2 linked regions of the Coturnix japonica genome follow. The protein of the gene in region 2 interacts with the protein of the main gene of each other region in a pairwise test. Links are inferred from orthologs where the notes say so. Each region holds a gene or a part of one and is shown on either strand. Other genes may lie near its edges.

Region 1 (4,110 bases), on a different chromosome or scaffold from region 2:
TCCACAACCTCCCTGGGCAGCCTGTTCCAGGGCCTAACCACTCTCTTAGTAAAGAACTTTCCCCTAACATCCAACCTAAATCTTCCCTCTTTTAACTTAAAACCATTTCCCCATGTCCTGCTATTATCAGCCCTTTCGAAGAGTTTACTCCCCTCCTGGGGAGTAAGTCCTTTGAGATCATTAAGCCCAACCCGACCATACCCCTCAGTGCCACATCCCCACCTGCAGCTCTCTCAACCCCCAGCACCTCTCAGTGCAGCCGTGCCTCTGCCCCACTACTCGTTAGGAGAAGGAACCCACCGCAGCCCCCTCCCAGGCTGCCTGGGGGAGCGGAGCCCTGCAGCCCCCTTACCTGACAGCCTCGGGGGAAGTCTTAAAAGGGATATTTCTGTTGTATTGAGCATCAGAGACAAACGCTGCAGCCAGCAGGAGCTCCTGGGGAGGGGAAGAAACACAGGTCAGGGGGTGCTTGGGGAGGGGGGCAGAGGGCGATATCCCTGCCCCGCAGGCGGGGATGGAGCACACGCCGCCCTACACCCCGTGCCACCTCCCAGCCCGAGGCGAGGGCTCTACCTGCGAAGCAGCCTCAGCCATGGCCGGGGAAACGCTTCACCTCCCGCCGACCCCGCGGCATTTAACGGGCCCGCCCCGCCGGCGGAAACGGGAGGCGGAGGAAGGGCCGGGAGGAGGAGCGGCAGCCGCAGGGTCCGCCCGCAGCGCTGCAGCCACGTTCCCGATGGTGCTGGATGCGCTGAGGCCCCGCTCGGTGCGCTGGGCGCTGCTGGCCGCCTTCGCCACCGGTGTCGTGGTGGGCTGGCAGGCCGCCCGCGCCCGCCGCCGCTTCCTGCGCTGGAGGCAGAGCCGCCTGCAGCGCCGCTTGGACGCCGCCCGGCAGCAGCTGGAGGCGGCCTGACCCCGCGCCGCCCTGCCCGGCTCCCGATCGTACGGCCGGAGCCACGCGGACCCGCCGCCCGGCGATGCCCGGAGCCAGCGCTGATCACACGGACCGAACCGACCGCACCGCGGGCTCATCGCTGCCGTGGGTGAGGACACGGCGCGCAGCGAGCGGCGGATCCCGGCGTGACGGAACGAGTGGGGAGCGGGGAGACGGAGCAGCGCCCGGCAGCACCAACGGGGCATTAAACGGGGCATTAAACGAGTGTGTGTGTCGGACTCGGTGTGTTCGTTCCTGCTGTGTGTTCATACTCCATACACTCCATATCCTCCATCCCGGCCCACGCTCGCGGCGCTCCCGGCAGTGACGCCATCTCCCAGCGCCGCCCGTTGCCCAGCGACCATGACGGGGCGGCGGGCGCGCAGCCCACTGCAGAGAGTGCAGCGCCAGAGCAGGGAGCTGCGGGCGCAGGTATCGGTACCGGTATCAGTATCGGCATCAGTACCGGTATCAGTATCGGTATCAGTATCGGTATCGGTATCAGTACCGGTACCGGTATCAGTATCGGCATCAGTACCGGTACCGGTATCGGTACCGGTACCGGCAGCCGCTGGGGAGCCCTTCCGGCAGCTGACGGCACCCCTCTGTGTTGCAGGTGGAGGCGCTGCGGGCAGAGAGCGCGGGCGCGGCCGTGGGGCAGCGGGAGGCCTTGAGGCAGAGGTGAGCGGGGCTGCGGGGCGCCTGGAGCTCGGTACCGGGGATGGAACGGACCTTAACAACCATTGGGCACCAACCCCCGCCTTAAACTGCTGACCCCAACCTGACCCTGTTGCCCAGGGCTCCATCCAGCCGTGGGCACCACCAGGAGTGGGGCATTCTGTGTTCTATGGGCAGCCTGTGTCCGTCTCATTGCCTCTGAGTGAAAATTCCCCTTAACGTCTAACCTCAAATTCCTCTTTGTCCTGACACTCAGACTGTAAAATTTGCTCCCATTCCTATTTATGAGTTCCCTTGAGGCACCATAAGGCCGCAGTGAGGTCTCTCCGCAGCCTTCTCTTCTCCAGGCTGAACGATCCCACCTTCCCCTGCTGTATCAGCTACACCACTCAGCGTGCTGTCAGCAGCACACTCAATCCCACTGTCAGAGTCACTGATAAAGATGCAGAAGTGCACATCCAAAGACAGACCCTTGTGGGACACCACTCATCACCTGCCTCCACTTATGCTATACCAGGACACAGAACCAGCTCTCTCTTGCTGAGGTTCAGCCTGGGAAGTCACCAGAGCCTCTACTTAATGCAGTGTTACCTGGTCTTTGGGGCATTATGGAAAGCAGGGGTTCAGCTTTCATAGTGCAGTGGCACTCCTGCCTTATCCCCGAGCAGCACTAGGCTACAGCAACAGCAACAGGCTCCCTCAGCACCCTGCCCAGTGCTGGGTGTGGGCAGTGACAGCAAGTGCCTGTGAAGTGATGTAGCACGGGTAACCACACAGGTTGTCTGAAATCCTCAAGGCTGAAGTTGTTTAAAGCAGGAACTTGCACATCACAGGTAACAAGCAGTGAAGCTGCGCATCCCTTTGTTCTTCAGGGATTCTTGTGTGAATGATTGACACCAAGAACTTGTCAGAGCCAGGAGATTATCTTATTTTGTCCCTCTGCTCCAAATCTGCTGCTGCTGCTTCTTGAGTTTTGTTAAAACACTGCTTCTAAGGACACACCAAACGCTTGGTTTATGAATTACAGACGGAATTAAACTGGTCTCTTTTTGTAAAGCTTTGTGTTCATACAGCTTTGAGAAGGTATGGGCATCTAAACATACGCATTTAAGTGATTTTGTGATTCAATATCCCGTCAACCAGATGTAAGGTAACGCTGTCTGTCTTGCTTTCAATGCAGGTGTTTTCAGCTGCAGAAACTGGTGGACGAGAATACAAATACTCTTCGTAGTTTGAAAAAGGTAGGTATAGAGACTTGCTAATGGTTTTCCCTGTAACATATTGTGGTAAATATTCAGAGAATGGTAACCTGCTTCAATTTCAGATGCCTCAGGATGAAAGTAATGCCTAGCACCACATAACCTACGAATGGGATCTCTGAGATTAATGTATATGATCTGAAAGCATATTCTTAATGCTTTGTTATGCGCATTAAAATCTTTCTTGACCCAATATATTTAAAGGTGTTTATCAACCCACTCCATTGTGTTGGGAGAGGAGAATGTAGTTTGAAAATGTAGTGTGAAAGTTCATTTTGTTGAAGTAAAAGGCAATAAAATATCATAAGCAGGGAGTTATCACTGCTGTGGAATATCAAAACTCATGAGATGTGTCTGTAAAACTGTAGAGAAACACCAGGTTTGTTGTATTTTCCTTCCTCAGGCTGACGAGCCTGCGCCTGTGGGGAATTACGATCAGAGGAAAGAAGAAGAAGAAAAGCTGTTGCTAAAGCTATCCCAGCAGCTGCAGAAATTTTGTCATGTCTTGGATAAGGACAATGCAGCTACAAAGGACACGGTGTAAGTAACCCAAACAAGCATCTGTACTTAAATAGTGTCATACATACAGCACTGGAAAGAACCTTCAAAGACTGCTTATCCTCCTTATTAGTTATTGCAAAAGAGCTGGCTCTCCTGGGGCTTGTTTTATTAATGAAATCAAGAGAGCCTCGCTGCAGTTTTCCGAGGATTTTGTTTAATGGCTGAGATATAACGTAGGTTGTACTGTGGTCTGTATTCTTAGGGATGAAAAACCATTTCAGGTCAGGCCAGAGTCTACAAAGAGATTTCTGGATAACACAGGGAAGCCCGTGTTGTAAGGCTTTAACAGCAATTAAAATATATATATATATATAAAATTAAAAAGTGAATAAAAAGTTTGATTTATTTTGGGTAGGAACAAGGGGAGTCTGAAAGATTCTCGGAGAGAACACAAAGATAAAGAAGAGGATGAGGGTGCTGATGACAATGGTGAAAGCAGTGAGGAAGAAGAAAGTGAAGAAGCAGATGAGGAAGATGGGGATAACTTGGATGATCCTGATGTTAAAGAATGCATTGCAGTGGGAAGCTTTAATGCACAGCAGGAAGGGGACCTCACATTTACGGTAAGCAGGCCCATAGAATTGATTGCCATGTTGGTGCTGCGGGTCATTCTGTATTAAGTGGTGGCAATAATGAAATCCTATGCTTTTGGGATTCAGAAAGATTTGAGGAAGAAAG
Region 2 (2,910 bases):
GGGACAGGTTTGGGCAAAAGATGAGCAAGGATTGGGTAGGGACAGGGATGTATGGGATGTGGGATCGGGCCTCATAGGTGCTGTGGTCCCTATGGTGCAGGACACAGTGGTGTCTCGGCTGAGGGTGGTGATCAGCACTTTGGCACACAGGAACAGGGCTGGGGAATCACCGTGGGAGCCGAGGCGTGGCACATAGGAATTGGGCAGGAGGTGGGTGCACAGGGTTGGGGCTGTCCCGAGCACCAGATACATGCTGGGGCACTGCATCAAGCCCTGTGAGCCCACAGCTGGGCTCTGGGTGCCCACGGCCCAGGGCTACCACGGCACCTGCTGTGCTGGCACTGCCTCCATCTGCACAGCAGTTACACTGCAACCCAGGTGTAGGTGTGAGGAGCACAGCAAAGTGTGGGTGGCTGTGGGCTGTGCAGCACTGCATCTTCACCGCTGCTTGTGCCCACAGCCAGTGCCACATCCTGTTCCACATCAAGATGCTATGAACAAACCCATGTTATTGCTTTGCCATAAAGCACGTGGCACCCCAGCCATGCTCCAGCACCGCTGCTTTTGGGGGAAAGGACACCCCAGTTGCACACACAGGGCGCCCGATCCCAGCACCGCACACACACAGCCAGGTGCCAGGGGAATTTCTAGGCAAATCTTTATGCTGCTGTGGGACCAGGGGGTTGAGTTTTGGGGGCGGCTGCAACTCCATGGCTCCGGGAACTGTGAGGAAGGAGGAAGCTTCCCCAGTGTTCAGAAGGCACCAATGTCGGTTTGCATTTCAATTACAGTTGGTACAGCAAAACCAAGACTTGAAATGCAAAGGTTCAAGCCCCTCCTCCCACCCCGGCTGCCCCTCACCCCTTCCCTTGTCACTCAGGACAGCACTCTTCATCTCCCTACTGCTGCTGCTTGCCTGGCTCTGTCTGTGCCACAACACTACAACAGATGGCCGATGTGCCGATGGAGCCCACAGCATCACCCCAGGACACTGGAGCAGCCCCACTGCCAGCCCCACTTCAACTGGAGCAGGGGAACGAGCACAGAAGGGAGAGATTGCAACCCTGGGCACTGCGGGCATGGCTCTGAAACCAATGTCGAGAGGATGAGAGGGGAGGGGGATGACAGCTGCGGCCCCTCACCCCTGTGTGAGTCTCTATGTACAGGTCTGTTACGCTGGGCAGAGGGCAATGGGAGGGGGAACAGCACAGGGCCATCACATGGCAGCCAGCTGGCCCAGCACCCTCCTGAACTGCTGCGTGCTGTTGGCAAGGTCCTTGACGCGCTCCACCATGTCCTTGGAGGCGGCAGGTGACGGGTAGTGCAGCGCAGCCGCTTTGGTGCTCACCACGATCTCCTTGAGCATCTCGCACAGGAGGTTGCTGTAGTGTGTCACCTTGTGCCGCACGTCCTGCGCCTTGGCCTGGCGGGACAGTGTGTCGCCGATGAAGACGAGCTTGTGGGCGCTGAGGATGATGAACTTGCTGTGGGCCACGAAGATTTTTGGGGGCTGGTTGGTGCTGACAGCGGTGAAGAAGGCGTCAATAGCATTGGTGAGCGTGGTGAGGTTGGCCTCGCACTGCTCCAGGTAGAAGAGGAGCAGCTGGTGGTCGGCGGCACACAGGGCACCACCGCCCCGTACAGGGCCGTAGTGCTGGGGAGGGCTCCAGTTGGACAGGTCGTTGTCAATGGGGCGCGTCACCTCCTGCTCCAGCCGCTCAAACTGCTTCAGCTATGGGGAGAGATGGGTGTGAGGACAGGCAGGGTGGCCACCGAGCCCCACAGCGATGGCTGCACCCCAGGGGATGCCACGTGGGACAGCGCCCCGATCCTATCTGGCATCAGAGAAGAGCCGGACAGAGCCATGGGGAGCTCACGGCTGTGGGAATGGGGAACAGGAGCCCAACCCTACTGCCCTCCCCACCCCAGGGTCCCCACTGAGCCATGCTTATCCCCCAGCCCCATTACCTGCTGGTGCTCCAACTGGTCCTTGCTCTGCCGGATAATGTTGCCTTTCTCCAGCAGCTCCTTCTGCGTCTTCTCAAACTCCTCCTTGCCCTGAAAGAAAGGAAGGAGGGTGAGAAGGGGGAAAACCACAAGCCCTATCAGGATGGAGCCCCCCAGCCCTGCACCAGGATGCCCTCAGTTCCTACAGCCATAACAGGAGGGGAAAAGCAAGACCCAGATGAGGAGACAGAAATCCCACCCACGTCACCCACAGGGTGCCCCCAGCCCGCACCCACCTGGAGGTGCACGTAGTCATAATCCTCCATCCAGCCGCTCTCGTGGTTCTCGTAGGGACCCTCGGGGGACTCCTGTGCCAGCAGCTTGGGTGGGGAGGGCAGGGGCCGTGACTGGATGCTGCTGGCCTTGTCAGAGGGGTGCGTGGGCCCGTGGCCATTGCCCTCTGGCGCTGGCTTTGTCCGTTTGAAGAGCAGAGAAGCATTGCCATGCAGGAAGGAGGCGAGCTGCTTGGTGTCATCGGGCACACCACGCGAGTACATGACGAACAGCTCCAAGTCGTCCGTGCCCGGTTTGCCAGCCACCAAGGCACTGGGAGCCCAGTGACATGCATCCAGCGCCTGGCTGTGCCGCCCCAGGGCCTGGTAGACCTCCTCCATCTTCTGCAGCTGCTTGCTGAGCTTGGCGTACAGTGAGCGGTCCGAGGCCTGGGCAGCGTTGCCCACTGCCCCCCGGGCAAACTCCAGCAGCTCCCTGAGGGCTGTTTGAACACCCTCGGCTGCCAGGCGGATGCCGGCAGCATTGGCTTCCATGTGCTCGGGGCTGCGCCAGTTGGTGCTGATGAAGGACATGAGGCTGGAGACGGCACCGCTGACGCCGAGCTGGAGCTTGGCCAGCATCTCCATGGCAGCATCCAAGTCCAGGGAGAACTCCCTGCCGGCTCCTTTG

What was found.
Region 1: the proteins of BCAR1 (region 2) and NPHP1 interact in a two-hybrid assay, tested with the Homo sapiens proteins (2 studies listed by BioGRID). The link is inferred for Coturnix japonica from reciprocal best matches to the Homo sapiens genes BCAR1 and NPHP1.

The regions. Positions count from the first base shown.
Region 1 is NC_029518.1:4,652,287-4,656,396, forward strand, and holds the start of NPHP1 (nephrocystin-1), read left to right. Parts: upstream 1-1,195; 5' UTR 1,196-1,297; coding exon 1,298-1,366; intron 1,367-1,550; coding exon 1,551-1,615; intron 1,616-2,792; coding exon 2,793-2,853; intron 2,854-3,274; coding exon 3,275-3,411; intron 3,412-3,564; exon of another isoform or gene 3,565-3,787; coding exon 3,788-3,995; exon of another isoform or gene 3,996-4,110. Other genes in the region: two pore calcium channel protein 1-like, read right to left, coding at 353-435, 574-594; MTLN (mitoregulin), read left to right, coding at 515-913. UniProt on the Homo sapiens protein: Together with BCAR1 it may play a role in the control of epithelial cell polarity. Involved in the organization of apical junctions in kidney cells together with NPHP4 and RPGRIP1L/NPHP8. Does not seem to be strictly required for ciliogenesis.
Region 2 is NC_029526.1:685,807-688,716, reverse strand, and holds the end of BCAR1 (breast cancer anti-estrogen resistance protein 1), read right to left. Parts: coding exon 2,244-2,910; intron 2,059-2,243; coding exon 1,969-2,058; intron 1,733-1,968; coding exon 1,217-1,732; 3' UTR 641-1,216; downstream 1-640. UniProt on the Homo sapiens protein: Docking protein which plays a central coordinating role for tyrosine kinase-based signaling related to cell adhesion. Implicated in induction of cell migration and cell branching. Involved in the BCAR3-mediated inhibition of TGFB signaling.